Arabidopsis thaliana: one gene and its partners. The protein of the gene in region 1 interacts with the protein of each later gene in a biochemical or structural test. Each region holds a gene or a part of one and is shown in the gene's direction. Other genes may lie near its edges.

Evidence for each region. The genes of interacting proteins can lie anywhere in the genome.
Region 2: the proteins of CAM8 (region 1) and RBK1 form a complex in vitro, tested with the Arabidopsis thaliana proteins (one large-scale study listed by BioGRID).
Region 3: the proteins of CAM8 (region 1) and EP1 form a complex in vitro, tested with the Arabidopsis thaliana proteins (one large-scale study listed by BioGRID).

Annotation. Positions count from the first base shown.
Region 1 is NC_003075.7:8,395,673-8,400,726, forward strand, and holds CAM8 (calmodulin 8), read left to right. Parts: upstream 1-2,039; 5' UTR 2,040-2,127; coding exon 2,128-2,206; exon of another isoform or gene 2,207-2,290; coding exon of another isoform or gene 2,291-2,315; coding exon 2,316-2,473; intron 2,474-2,894; coding exon 2,895-2,975; coding exon of another isoform or gene 2,976-3,023; exon of another isoform or gene 3,024-3,033; intron 3,034-4,186; coding exon 4,187-4,324; 3' UTR 4,325-4,554; downstream 4,555-5,054.
Region 2 is NC_003076.8:3,319,257-3,324,703, reverse strand, and holds RBK1 (ROP binding protein kinases 1), read left to right. Parts: upstream 1-1,793; 5' UTR 1,794-2,054; coding exon 2,055-2,067; intron 2,068-2,217; coding exon 2,218-2,670; intron 2,671-2,748; coding exon 2,749-3,006; intron 3,007-3,095; coding exon 3,096-3,250; intron 3,251-3,346; coding exon 3,347-3,426; intron 3,427-3,511; coding exon 3,512-3,650; coding exon of another isoform or gene 3,651-3,677; exon of another isoform or gene 3,678-3,735; coding exon 3,736-3,885; intron 3,886-3,964; coding exon 3,965-4,120; 3' UTR 4,121-4,695; downstream 4,696-5,447. Other genes in the region: AIL6 (AINTEGUMENTA-like 6), read right to left, coding at 4,696-5,246, 5,332-5,447.
Region 3 is NC_003075.7:12,133,352-12,137,409, forward strand, and holds EP1 (receptor-like protein kinase-related family protein), read left to right. Parts: upstream 1-1,621; 5' UTR 1,622-1,853; coding exon 1,854-2,651; 3' UTR 2,652-3,445; downstream 3,446-4,058.

The DNA of each region.
Region 1 (5,054 bases):
TTTCCCACCTAGGAAGAGTAAAAATGCAAAGATTACTAATGAAGAAAAGCCCCATAATTTTGTTTTTTTTTTTGTTTTTACAATTCGTTTCTAGAAACTCAAAATATGAAAAGTTGAATCGTTTCAAAAAGAAATTGCTGGTTCGTTAATTTGCTACGTCTAATCGTTTATTTATAATTATTTTCTTATATCGTGCTTATGAACTTATAATGCAACGTATGATACATGCATTTCCCCTACTGTTCGAATACCAATTGCAGATTCAATGCAAGTCAGCAAGTATCTCCTAAATTATTTCTTAGCAGTAGATATTCTTCTTAATGATTACAATCTTTTAGCAGTAGATATTCTTCTCAATTATGATATGTGACGTGGAATATATATTTTCATCTGTTATATAAAAACAGTCGCAATTATTCAAACAAAATGTATAGGAAAATAAATAAGTGGTGTGAATATGTGATTCAAATGAATCTGTAATATTCTCAAAATTCCTACCTCCGTGAATTCTAGAAAATGTCGTCGATCGGAACAAATTTGAAAATAGAATGATTTGTGTGGATAAACTTTTAAATCATTGTGTGGGAACGCACGGATTCTACAAAATCATGCTGGCCAAGTTAAGCTTCATAGCCTTAATGCATTCACAGCTATGGACAGTCGAGTTGTACGTTAATATGTCTTCTATGGACAGGAGCGGGTAAGATGGCCAATGAGGTCATTATGTTGAGATGTACGTAGACAAATTTCAATGTTGTTCTTTCTGAGTATTAAAAGAGTGTGATCACTGATTTTGAAGTCAGAAAAAACAAAAGAACATGTTTAAAGCGTCAAGTTTATCGCATCGTCTCGGTTCTCAGATTGTGTATTTGGTAGCTGCGGTGGTGGCTAAATTGCGGTCTCTTTTGTTGACATCACTTGTATTTCTTGACTAGTTATTTGTGCTACCTGGTTTTGAATGTGTCTTGCTAGTGCGGTTCTTCATAATTGAAGTTAGTGCTGCAATGAGTTATCACCTCTTGTTGCGTTTGTTTTGTGTTCTAGAAGAGTTAGTAAGATCGATGGTGTTCGATGTGGTTATGAATCGCATAAATCATGCTCTGCTCTATCCGACTTTGGGGAAAGAAATTGGTAGATGGAGCTTGCATCGTTCGCATAATTTGGTTCTTGAGGTTCCATATTATTGGAAAGCTTATGGACTTGAACAACGAGTCACTGTCACATGACGCGAGAGGAGTTTATGCCAGAGAACTTTGAGTTTCTACCGTTGACGGCTCATCCTTAGACCTCCAATTCAAAGTTTTTAATGCAAATAGTTTAGCATTATGCTTTTTTCAAGCAGTAGTTACCCTTCTTCTTAAAAAAACAAAAAACAAAAAACTTAATTATAAGATAAAATTTCAAAATAGTCATATTTTTATCTAACTCGTTCGGCTTCAACGCTTTGGTTGAGTTGATTGACCAAAACTTGTGAATCACGATGTATGCTTCTATGTTTTATTTTTCTTGTTATAGGATCATTTGTATAGGCTTAAAATCTTTTGATTGTAAATTTATATTTTTATCATTTCAATAAAATATTTTTATTTTTATTTAAGAAAAAACAGAAAAAAACAAAAAACAAAAGAACATAATTGTTGCGTACAAAATGAGTGGCTAATGGGTTTGAACTAGACAGAAAAAGTTAGGGACGTTTTATCAAAGACTATTGTAGGCTTATACTTGTTTGTTTTAGGACTTGTCGTTCTATGTCTATTTGTAGTAGTCTCTACTTGTTAGAATAAGATGATTTTTTCAAAACTAATTTTGCACAAGTGATTTGAACTTTAACAAACAGCGACAATTATTAATTTATTATATGGGATTCAGCCATGTGACTAGAATTAAATTGTTCAATCCAAGAGTTCTAGACCCAAAAAAAAAACAGTACTGCCCTTTCAATTTAAAATAATTTGAGAATCAATTAAAGAGCTTAAAGTAGTTGAAAAGTACATAAGTCCAATGTAGAAAAGGTCTTGTCACAACTCTACATATAGACCATAAATCAGAGATTTAAGCACTTCAAACCTTGAGCTCCCTCCTCTCTCTCTCTCTCTCTCTTTGTCTTCAAAATATTCTCAGAAAACAATGGAAGAAACAGCACTGACAAAAGATCAGATCACTGAGTTCAAAGAAGCCTTTTGTCTCTTCGACAAAGACGGCGACGGTTCTCTTCCTTTCTCTAGATGGTCATATATAGAATAAAGATAATAAAGACGACGACTAATATTATGTTGTGTGACATTTATTTATGGTTGTTTGGAATCCTTTAATAGGTTGTATAACGGTGGAAGAACTTGCAACAGTGATCCGTTCGTTGGATCAGAATCCGACAGAACAAGAACTTCATGATATCATCACTGAGATTGATTCTGATAGCAACGGCACCATTGAATTTGCTGAGTTTCTCAACCTCATGGCCAAAAAACTTCAGGTTCCACTCTCTCTTGATCTCTCATGCTTATTTATTTCACAACTAATTACATCAAGTTAACGTAGCCACGTACAAACCAAAAAGTTACATCAAGTGAAATTTTTTTGTCTATATGATTTCTTATATATTATGTTATAGGTCCCTTATTGTAACTCTTTGATATGGGATCCTAACAGGTTCTAGTCAAAATGGAGCTGTCTCATTCATTATGCTTCTAGTTTATTAAAAACTCTTAAGAAATATATTGGAAATATTCAGCTTTTGTATTACAGCAAAATCTGTTTTGCTTTCGGTTTTTCACTACGAATAAATCTGATTTGTGAAGAACTAGACACGTAAATGTGTATAATGTAAACAAAGACTTTTATGACAATAGTTTTTTTGTATGTTAAGTTGTTGTCATGATCATGTGATGGTTTAGGAAAGTGATGCGGAGGAAGAGCTGAAAGAAGCATTCAAAGTCTTTGACAAAGACCAAAATGGATACATCTCTGCCAGTGAGGTCCGTGACTCTTACTCTCTTTTTTTTCTCTCTTTATTACTAATTTGATATATGTGTCAATGTGTATATTTAGTTAGATATATGCTTGACTTATTGAGAACTTAAAAGGGAACTTATGCGGAAAATCCTCTTTAAGAACTTATAAAAACAAATTAGTTCGATGCACTGGATTGCGTTTTGTACAACGTTCTCCAATAATACCATGTACGGTCTAACTGTGTTTTTATTTGGTTATAAATGATTAGAGCTATAATTATTTAGATTTTTGTATCTACTAGAAATCCTTATCTAAATTTTGGTTATTGTCAAATTTAGTTTAGGTACATGAACCAATTTCATAAATGTCTTCTTTGCTTAAGTGGTACATGCTCTATATCTCTAAAGTGTCGTCAAATACAGGCTAAGCACAATAATTATGAGCATAGTATTTTTATGTAACCACTTGGACCAATTAATTCTGCATTAACTAGAAAAAACGAGAAATCCAGCTAAAACACACTTTCACATATGTAGAATCAATGACAAATATCAGACAACAAAGCCAGACGATCTTCCAATTTAAAGAGATCCATAGTTGTCTCATTTATGTTCTAAAACATTTTTTAACAAGACATGGCCATTTATTTATTTGATTTTATATTTTCGAAAGTCTGTTTTCCATCGTGAGGGCTTAGAGCTAGCTGGCATTGTGAATCTTTAGAGAATAACGAAGAGGAACAAAAGAAATTTTAATACAAAGTAGTTAGATAGAGTAAAATGCGTTTGATTTTATTGGTTTATTTGACAGGAGGGCACATGTTTCACCTAGTTTAATTAAATATATATACCTTTCTTTACATCCTCAAAAGTTACATTAATGCAGACACCTTTTTGCATGCAACACAATTCAATTTATTAATTTGGGGTTTTCTATATCGATTGGTCAAAACTTAGGCTAAAACCAGCTGTATTTTGCTTACAACTTAAAAAAAAAAAAACTAAACAATTGTATGAATTTGGTTTATTCATATTTTTCGTACCGAAATTAGAAATTGTTCAAGTTAGGCCGTTTGACCTACTATATTGTATTGCATATTCAAATGGATAATAAACAATTATTATTCTCTGTACAGGGTCAGACCCGTCTGATTAACATGCACAACTTAATTTACAATAATTAGACTAACAATTACGTTAATTATTTATTAATTTGAAAAGCTTTGTTATTGCAGTTGAGTCATGTAATGATAAATCTAGGAGAAAAGCTAACAGATGAAGAAGTTGAACAAATGATAAAGGAGGCAGATTTGGATGGTGATGGCCAAGTCAATTATGATGAATTTGTCAAGATGATGATCAACATTGACTGATTACTTTTTCTAAATCTATTTATTATATAAGCCAATGATCCTTAATTACCTTGTTAGTTGTTACTACTTCGTGTTCACACCATCTCAACAAATTCTCCATTATTCCACATTCATTGAAATTTTCAGATCCAGTTTTGTTTTATCACTTGTGAAGCTGTCAAATCCAATATAATCTCTATATTATAGCTTTCTCTATATGATTTTGGAATTCTGTTTATACATAGTTTGTTTCTATATTATAGCTTTTTCGATATGATATTTTTCTTCTTCTTGCAATCTTTGATTATAGGTGTTTCAATATGATTTTGGAATTATATTTAGCGAATGAATACGAAACACAATTTTTTTTGTGGAAAATGCAAAAAATCTTAAAACAAAGCAGCATATTGAGTTTATGTGAATGCTAAAGTATTTGGATATTATTTTCCTCATGAAAGTGAGGAGTTGAACTCCTTCACTCAAACGAAAATATCTAATGGCTAAACCACTAGTCTAGACACTTTAAAGAATAATTGAAAATGATTTATGTAAAAAAAAAGAAAAGTGAGACTGTGAGAAAGCCATGCCCATATAATATTTAGTAAGAAAATAATAATAAAATTACAGGTAGTAAAAAAATTTCCACACTTTATCAAAAACCCCTCAAACAGAAAATCCCAATTTAAGTATACAGAAAAGAGAAAACCCAATCCACACTTTCACTTATTTCCTCCCAATTTCTCAGAATAAT
Region 2 (5,447 bases), on another chromosome or scaffold:
GCTTCTTTGGGAGTTAGAATCATAATATTAATAATGAAGAATAAATGTCAATAGCATTGAGCCATTGAGAAAATCGGTTGAACTGACTTCTCTAACTGAAAATTCACATTGGTGAGTTTGGTGGCGATTTAATTTTTGGGCGTATATTATTTTTTAGAAAATTAAGATAGAAATTAATGGTTGTGGTAGTATATATTAACGGGTTTAGTTCACCAACTAACACAATTAATCTTCCCTACTTACACTGCGATCGTTTGTTTTTATCTAGTTCTAAATTACTAGAACTAGTTTACTTCAGACAACAAACTTTATAAGTAGAAAACCGAGTCATTGTAGATTATTATATTTGTAATTTACTTAATGATGTTACCATGAAAACTATAAGTAGTATATATAAGAATTTTCTTTTGCGTATGGACTATATACGTCTGAGAAACAAAACCTAACTGTTACTAATGGAGTTTCAATGTAATGAATTGAGTTTGGACTTTGGCGTTTTGAGATAGACAAGTACTAAACATTTCACTTGGGTTTGTCTCACGGAAAGGTGGTTGATTTTAATGCCTTCGGGTGATAACTCTTTTTTTTTTCTCCACGCCTTAGGTGATGGTAAACTCATAAAGTCATTTTAATCCTCGAAAATTAAGGATCTATCCACGCCTCATATTATAAAGTAAGATTTGTGTTTATTATGGCATCCCATATGGCCATTGGTGCAAGTTTGAGGTGGGTCCAAATTGTCACGCATGAAAAATTGACAATGGTTACGTTGAGAAAGAAAACTACTAAAATAGTAGTATAGTTTATTCGTAAACCAAAACAATTGTAGCCATCATTACGAATGGATAGCTCTTGTTATTAACTTTCAAATAACAGGGATTATGTAGTAGAAACTTGTTTTTTTGTATTAGTATTATGGCTCGAAAGTGATAGTATTTGTGAATACAAATATTCTAGTAATAGTTGAATATTAAAAAATCATATCAATGATACGATGGCTTAATTTTGTAGTCAAATTTGTCTGCCATATGTTTCCTCTCTTTATGCCGCCACGAAAAAATTGAAAATATAAAGAAGAAGAAACAGACAGCACACTCACAATTTGTCGAATTTTTAACTAATGATTTTGTCAACTTCTATAAGTGCAAATCCATATTTTTTATTCCTTGGTTATAGAATTTTATTTAACTTTTACTAATTTTCGTTGTTTTAATAATTTTAAATCATACTAGCAAAAAATGTCATCCAAAATTAACTAAAACCTAATGTTCCGACACTTTCAATCTCATTCTACATGTAAACAAAAAGCTCAAAAATGTAAGAAAAAAATAACAAGGTTTGCTAAATTAGAAGAGCTATTTAATATCACATGCGCTATTTAATTTTCTTTTTTAATCACGAATCACGAATTAGCTATTTTGCGGAGAATAGAATTTGAGTGAAATATAATCATAACAAAATCCCTTTAATATTAACTCTCAATTCATTACAAGCAAAGGTGATGTCTTATTTTATATGACGAAAATGCCCACAAACCAGCCAGATATATCAACCGTTTGAGTTCTTTACATCGTAAATGCGTTAGTTACGGCAACAATCTCTAATCCTTTCATCTTCCTCAAAATTATTAAAATCATAGGACTACTAATTTAGAAACAAGAAATTACAAAAAACAAAACAAGAAAAACAAAACTTGACTTGACTTGCAGTTGAAAGTAAAAAATAAAAACAAAAGTTGAATTGCTACGGTGGAGTTGTATAAATATAGCAGAGATTCCAATCCATCTCCACTCAGCAAAAGCTGACTCTTCTTCTAACTTTCTATTTCTTCCAAGAATAACAAACTTTTTTCTCATAAGAAACAAAACAAGAATTCTACAAAACTTCTCATTAAACCTCTGTTTTCTTGTTTCTCTTCTGCTCTGTATTTTCGATAATTCTCTCTGTTTTGTATCCTTTCTTATTTTCTGTGAATCTGTTTTTTTATGGAAATTTAATTCAAAGGCTTATTAGAGGAAGAAAGAAAGAAAAAGAAAAAAAAACCCACTGGAGCTATGGCTGTTGAAGGTAAACCTAAACATAAAATTTGTTTGCTTTTTGTTAAGAAAGTGGGGGAAAAAAATAAAATCATTGATGCAAATTTATTTTCTGGGTTTATGAAAATTTACGCAGACATGTTATAGAACTGACTTTTTGTATTCCTTGTAACATTAACAGATAACAAGAACAGTGAAAGCAAAAATCATCAAGAGGTAGAGCTTCATAGGAACGACTTAGGCCTCGAAGATTCATCATCGCCAAGAGGTGTTCTCGGAATGGTTTCAGATTCCGACAACAGCAGCAGTAGTTGCAGCTCTTGTTCCTCTGATGATAAATCATCATCAACATCGTCACCATTTTCAAATACTACTAAAACCGTTTCGTCTTCTCACCATGGTCTTCAATGGAACAAAATGATTGAATCTATCAAGAAGAAGTCCATGAGACGATTCTCTGTCATTCCTCTTCTTGCAAGTTACGAACTCACCCGTAAAAACTTGCGTCGTAAGCAACCTAAGCTAACTCCCTCTGAGAGTGCTTTCACCTGTGAAGCCTTCTTTATGGCTAAACCCTCTTGGAGAAACTTCACTTACGAAGAGCTCGCTGTAGCCACCGATTATTTCAATCCTGGTATACACAAAAACGCAAACCCTTCTTCAATAGATTTTGGATTGAGAAATTTGAGTTTTGGTTTTGTTTTTTTGTTAGAGAACATGATTGGTAAGGGAGGACATGCGGAGGTATACAAAGGGGTTTTGATTAATGGTGAGACGGTGGCGATTAAGAAGCTGATGAGTCACGCCAAGGAAGAAGAAGAAAGAGTGAGCGATTTCCTTTCAGAGCTCGGTATAATCGCACATGTAAACCACCCAAACGCAGCTAGGCTTCGCGGTTTCAGCAGTGATCGCGGTTTGCATTTTGTTCTTGAGTACGCTCCCTATGGCAGCCTCGCTTCTATGCTTTTTGGTATACTTAAAAGTCTCCTTCTTACTGAAAATCTTGTGTCTAGTACTTTTTTCTACAATGTTGTGATATTGTCTCTTTGATCTTTGTAGGATCAGAGGAATGTCTAGAGTGGAAGATAAGGTATAAAGTGGCTCTAGGTATAGCTGATGGTCTGAGTTATCTTCATAATGCTTGTCCAAGAAGGATCATTCACCGTGACATCAAAGCTTCTAACATATTGCTCAACCACGATTACGAAGCTCAGGTAAATGATCTTGACAAATGACAACATCTCTAAACATTTTCTTGGTATTTGGTTGGTTTGAGAACCATTTACATATTGTACATTTTCTCAATTCAGATTTCAGATTTCGGACTTGCAAAATGGCTCCCAGAGAACTGGCCTCACCATGTTGTATTCCCCATTGAAGGAACATTCGGGTAAAAGAGAGAAAGCTTTGTAACTATCCATGAACAGCTTTGCTGATCAAAACTATAGGTTTCATTGGGTTTTTTCTCCCTTTAGATATCTAGCTCCAGAGTATTTCATGCACGGCATTGTTGATGAGAAGATTGATGTGTTTGCCTTTGGAGTATTGCTTCTAGAGATCATAACCAGTCGCCGAGCTGTTGATACAGCAAGCAGGCAGAGCATTGTTGCATGGGTAAATGCATCAGTGACTCTTTATTGAGACTCATCAAAAGTTCAGCTTGAGATCTTTTGTTTACCTTATTGATTTGGTTATACAGGCAAAACCTTTTCTTGAGAAAAATAGCATGGAGGACATTGTGGATCCTCGGCTAGGAAATATGTTTAATCCAACAGAGATGCAACGAGTGATGCTAACAGCTTCAATGTGTGTACATCATATTGCCGCAATGCGACCTGACATGACTCGGGTATAGTACCTATTCTTCCCATGTTCATAGAGCCAAAACAGATCTTTGGTATCGGTTTTGATGTGAATTCTTTGTGCAGTTGGTGCAGCTGTTACGTGGAGAAGACGGACCAGCTGAGCTACAGCAGAAGGCAGGTGAAAGAACAATGAGCGTGAACGCTTGTGATCTACAAGATCACACCTCTTCCTCATACCTCAACGAACTCCGCCGCCATAGGCAACTCTTAATGGAGTGAGTAGAAGCAATAACATCAACTTAAAGAACTGTTTATCAACCTCTTTCTTTTTAGATTTTTATTTTCTTGACTTGAGTTTTGCTTGTTATTCTCCATTGGTTGCTTTTTTTTCTTGTCCAACCAAACTGTGAATATCTTCAACTTGTGTCTCTCTGTTGCTTCTACTGAACTTTGTTAGTCTCAACCTCTCGGTAGAGTTGTCAATTTGTTACCAATGAGCTCACAAGTAGATAGATATCAAACAAATAGCAACACAGAACTTTCTGAAGATAATTTTTTCATAAATGGAAACAGAGTACACTGCGGATAAGCTGATAGCCTTATACATACAAGATACAAAAGAAACCATCCCCCCTAATTCCCAAAAACTACCATTTTTCTCCACCGAGTTTAGGTTTAATACATTCTTCCACATTTCCAACCCCCAACTACTCCTGCCTAAACAACAACAGTTAATCAAAAACAAAAGTGAGATTTTTAAGATTCTTCTAGTCAGCTTATGTGTTAGCCAGAATCAAGAAGTTGTGTCTCTTATAACGATAAAAACTTGACTCAATCAACTTATATGATTGGTTTTAGTAAGACTGATTAGGCCAGAGGAAGAACTCAGCCGGATTTGGTGCCATAAGTCCCATTGTTCCCTGAACGTTGGAGTTGTTGTTAGACCCGGTCGAGTCAGAAGCTGCATTCGCCGGAAAATGCTGGAAGAAGTTCTGTTGCTGCTGCTGCTGTTGGTGTTGCTGTTGTTGTTGGTGGTGGTGGTAAAGAGCAGCTGCTTCAAAAGGGATTCCACAAGGAATGATCTGTTGAGACTGAACTGCTGAATTAGGACAGAGAGCGAAGTTAATGCTACTGTGATTAGGAGATGACTGAAGCTGAAGCTGTTGTTGTTGTTGTTGTTGCTGGAAATGGTGAAGTTGATGATGACCGAGGATTGGTTTCTGCTCTGATGAAGCAGCAGCTTCCAAAGAGAGCTTAAGACGTTTAGCTGCACCACCGATGGGAAGTGCACTCTTCATGATGGCTTCAACGTCGTAACGGTTCATCTCAAAGTTAGTTACAGCGTTTATTCCTCTGAATTTGATTGCTGCTATGTCATACGCTTCAGCTGCTTCCTCTTCCGTTGCTACAACAACAACACCAGGACTAACTAATTAACCACAGACAATGATTGTTAAATTAGCTAGACCAAGTTTGAAGATTTTACATACCAAAGGTTCCAAGGTAAAGATCTTTGTTCCCAGCAACTCGGCCAATCCTTGCTTGCCAACGTCCTTGTTGATGATGCCTTGTAACACCTCGGTATATCGAAGCTCCTCTAGAGAAA
Region 3 (4,058 bases), 3.7 Mb from region 1:
AAAATTGCAGATTTTGGAATGGCTAGGATCTTCGGATTGGACCAAACCCAGGATAACACAAGCCGAATAGTTGGTACCTAGTAAGTGTTCCACCTAACATCTCATACGTTAAAGTTTGTTGGAAATTTTATTTTGCCAACATATATACTAAAGTTTTGTTGTGGATTCCAGCGGTTACATGGCTCCCGAGTATGCGATGCATGGCCAATTCTCAATGAAATCTGATGTCTATAGCTTCGGAGTGTTAGTTCTTGAGATTATAAGTGGTAGGAAGAATAGTAGCTTCGACGAGTCAGACGGCGCACAAGACTTGCTCACACATGTAAGTTTTTAGGCAATCAATATATACCTCTCTTACATTACAACACGTAACGTTAGTAGCTAGAACTGATTTATTGATTGATATTCTAGACTTGGAGGCTTTGGACTAACAGAACAGCATTAGACCTCGTGGATCCACTTATAGCAAATAACTGCCAGAATAGCGAAGTGGTTCGATGCATCCATATCGGTCTTTTATGTGTTCAAGAAGATCCTGCAAAGCGTCCGACAATATCAACCGTTTTCATGATGCTCACTAGTAATACTGTGACCTTACCAGTGCCTCGGCAACCAGGGTTTTTCATTCAAAGTAGTCCCGTAAAGGACCCGACTGATTCAGATCAGTCTACCACGACCAAGTCTACTCCAGCATCTATTGACGATGAATTGATCACTGATTTATATCCGCGCTAAATATGATGTTTACCTTCACGGTTGTAATGAAGTTTAAGCATATATTTTCATATTTCTAGGTGTGATCAACCCAATAAATTGTTTAGTTTTGATTTGGTTTGTTAAAACCATATGTGTACTTTGTTTTGATTTTTTATTAAAGAATAATTAGATATGGAGAGAAATGAGAAATGGAGAGAACACTTAGAATGTTGGCAATTGGCATTAAAGTTTGGTCCATTCTAAAAATTTGGCCAATCCAAAATCTGTAACTTTGGATTTCATTTCAGCGTCTATGAGGATATTACCTGCTTTGAAGTCACAATGTCTGATTGAGAGTCGTGAATGATGAAGATATATAATCGCTTTAGCAATACCTCCAATGATCTTGTACCTTCTGATTTGGGAACAGAGGGAAAACAGAGTAATGTGGGAAGGTGATTTACATGATTTGTAAAAGTAGTAAAATAAATGAAATGTGAAACCATCTAGCACGTCAAAGTTTTTTCTTTTCTTACTTTGTTATAAACTAACTAACTAATACAATTTTTTGAAAGTCAAAGTCACCTATATGATGAACATCAACTTTTATTGTTATTCAAATGTTAGACTAAAACACGTGGAAGTGACAACCAGAGAAAATAGATTTATAAATTTTCTATGTTTTGACGTCTATCAATCTATTTCCGAGAAAAATATGGGTTGGAATTGAATATTATTGAAGTGAGGTTGATGATTATTCCGCTTGGCGCCGAGACTTTGGGTCAAAAAGACAGCACAGTTAAAGTTCCTTACCAGACAAGTAACAAACGAACAGTTATAAGTTAAAACAATAATTTCACAACCCTAGTTTATTCAGTTTGTAGCCCTAATTAATTTTCTTACTCAAAAAGTTTAGTTTCACTAAATTATTGTCGAGATATCAGTTGCTTGTAATCTTATTCATAAAACAAAATAGGTTATTTCAACAAGGCCTTTTCCAATAATTTGACTTTTGTTGTTAATAAAAAGGAATGACATAAAAAAAAATCGTTTACATTGACTTTGATTGATGACTTATGGTCGTCACAAACTATTCACGTTAATAAATGGAAGCTGCATGATGTGAAACTCAAATCAACGAAGTCGAAAAAAACACCATGTCTTCTCTGATCTCTTTTATCTTCCTTTTCCTTTTCTCATTCCTCACTAGCTTCAAAGCTTCCGCTCAAGATCCTTTTTACTTAAATCATTATTGTCCAAATACGACAACTTACTCAAGATTCAGCACTTACTCCACCAATCTCAGAACCCTTTTGTCCTCTTTTGCTTCCCGCAACGCCTCTTACTCCACCGGATTCCAGAACGTCACGGTGGGACAAACCCCCGACCTGGTCACCGGACTTTTCCTCTGCCGCGGAGACCTCTCGCCGGAAGTTTGCAGTAACTGCGTTGCCTTCTCCGTTGACGAAGCGTTAACTAGGTGTCCAAGTCAGAGAGAAGCTGTGTTCTATTACGAGGAGTGTATACTCAGATACTCTGACAAGAATATTCTATCGACGGCCATTACAAACGAAGGAGAATTTATCTTGAGTAACACCAACACTATTTCTCCTAATCAAAGTCAAATAAACCAGTTTATAGTTTTGGTGCAATCTAATATGAACCAAGCTGCCATGGAAGCAGCCAACAGTTCTAGAAAATTCTCTACGATAAAGACCGAATTGACCGAACTCCAGACTTTGTACGGGCTTGTTCAATGCACTCCTGATCTTACAAGTCAAGACTGTTTGAGATGTCTGACAAGATCCATCAATAGAATGCCACTTTCTAGAATTGGAGCAAGACAGTTTTGGCCAAGTTGTAATTCAAGGTACGAGCTTTACTCGTTCTACAACGAAACTACCATTGGAACACCATCTCCACCACCACCACCGTCGCCAAGCAGAGCAAATTGATGTGCTGCTTTTTACGTCGAAGTTTTGGCCAAGTTGTAATTCGTTTTGCTCTGCTTTACAAATTGACGTGTTGCTTTTTCTCTGCGTTTAAAATTGGTATCATCGAAATAAAGTAACTCAGTTTCTTACAATCAAAGAGATAAGGATTGTGAAGCAGCTAATGAGTCTTCTTATTTTGTCTTTACTTCAGTCTTCTCGTCTTTGATAGTGAATTGCTCATCTAGCTTTCTTAATCTTAGACTTGGTCAATGTTTTGGCTTTTCTCATACTAAACCAATTAATACATAAAATATTTAATTTATTTTCTATTACAATTATCTAGATATTTTTAGCTACACGTGATTGAAACGTGTCTCAAGCTACACCAACGCTCTTCCTCACAAACTGAATTCGTCGTCGATAGTGGTTGCTCTTGCTATCTTGATGTTTACTTCGTCTGATCGTTGAACTGGCCCGCTGCAACATTCTGAGTGTTCCAAGTGATTATTCTAGTTGTGCGTAACACCGTAACAGTAAAAATGAGCTAAGGAAAGCGAGATGCAAGGGAGAACCAACAGAAGCATAAGTTTTTCCTCTGTTATTACTAATGGAAAAAAACTTTCTTTTTCATTTTCTAATTCCTTGTCAGATTTCTCAGCTTCTCTTCTTTTTGTTTTGTGTAAGACTTGGTCGGAGTCTTAGATTACGCTGATGATTAAAAACTACTAAAAAAGAAAAAAAAAAGAATATTACGCAAATGTTCTCGATGCATTGACCAAGTCCTCTTCTGGTTCTGGCTCCATTTTCACATGCAGGCCCATAACCAATTTTAACGAGATTTGTTGCATGAAAAGCCGATTGTTTTTCCTTGGCAGTAACGAAAAAAAATTAGTTACTTTTTAAAAACTAGGGTTTTGAATAATATCATTAAAATCAAATAGAACGAACTAGGGTTTTGGCATCATACACCGCCTCATTCAATTATTAACAAAGCTGAGTCTTCTTCACGGAGAAATCACGGCTGAGCTAGGTCTCATATACCTTGCATCAATATCTTGGGCCTTTACTAGGATCGGAGATACATCAAACATAAAATACTTCTCGGTTTTATTTTCTCTTTCCTTATGTATATGTGAATGCCTTTAAAAATTTTGATTGCCTTTTTTCTCGTTTTGGAATAGTCATGAGAAGCTGAGAACCAAAAAGGAAATATTTCTCACCTTTGCAACTAGCTAGATGGAGCTTATGGATGCAAAATTCGTTTTAAAACACATTGTATTCGGATGATGTCAAAATATTTCACATTCATATAGCAAATTCATGTTTATATATTCCGATATTAACTTTAAATATTAAAACTTATATGCTGTAGATTCATATCCGGGTGAAAACACGAAAGGACTTATGATGGAACCATTATATGGAACG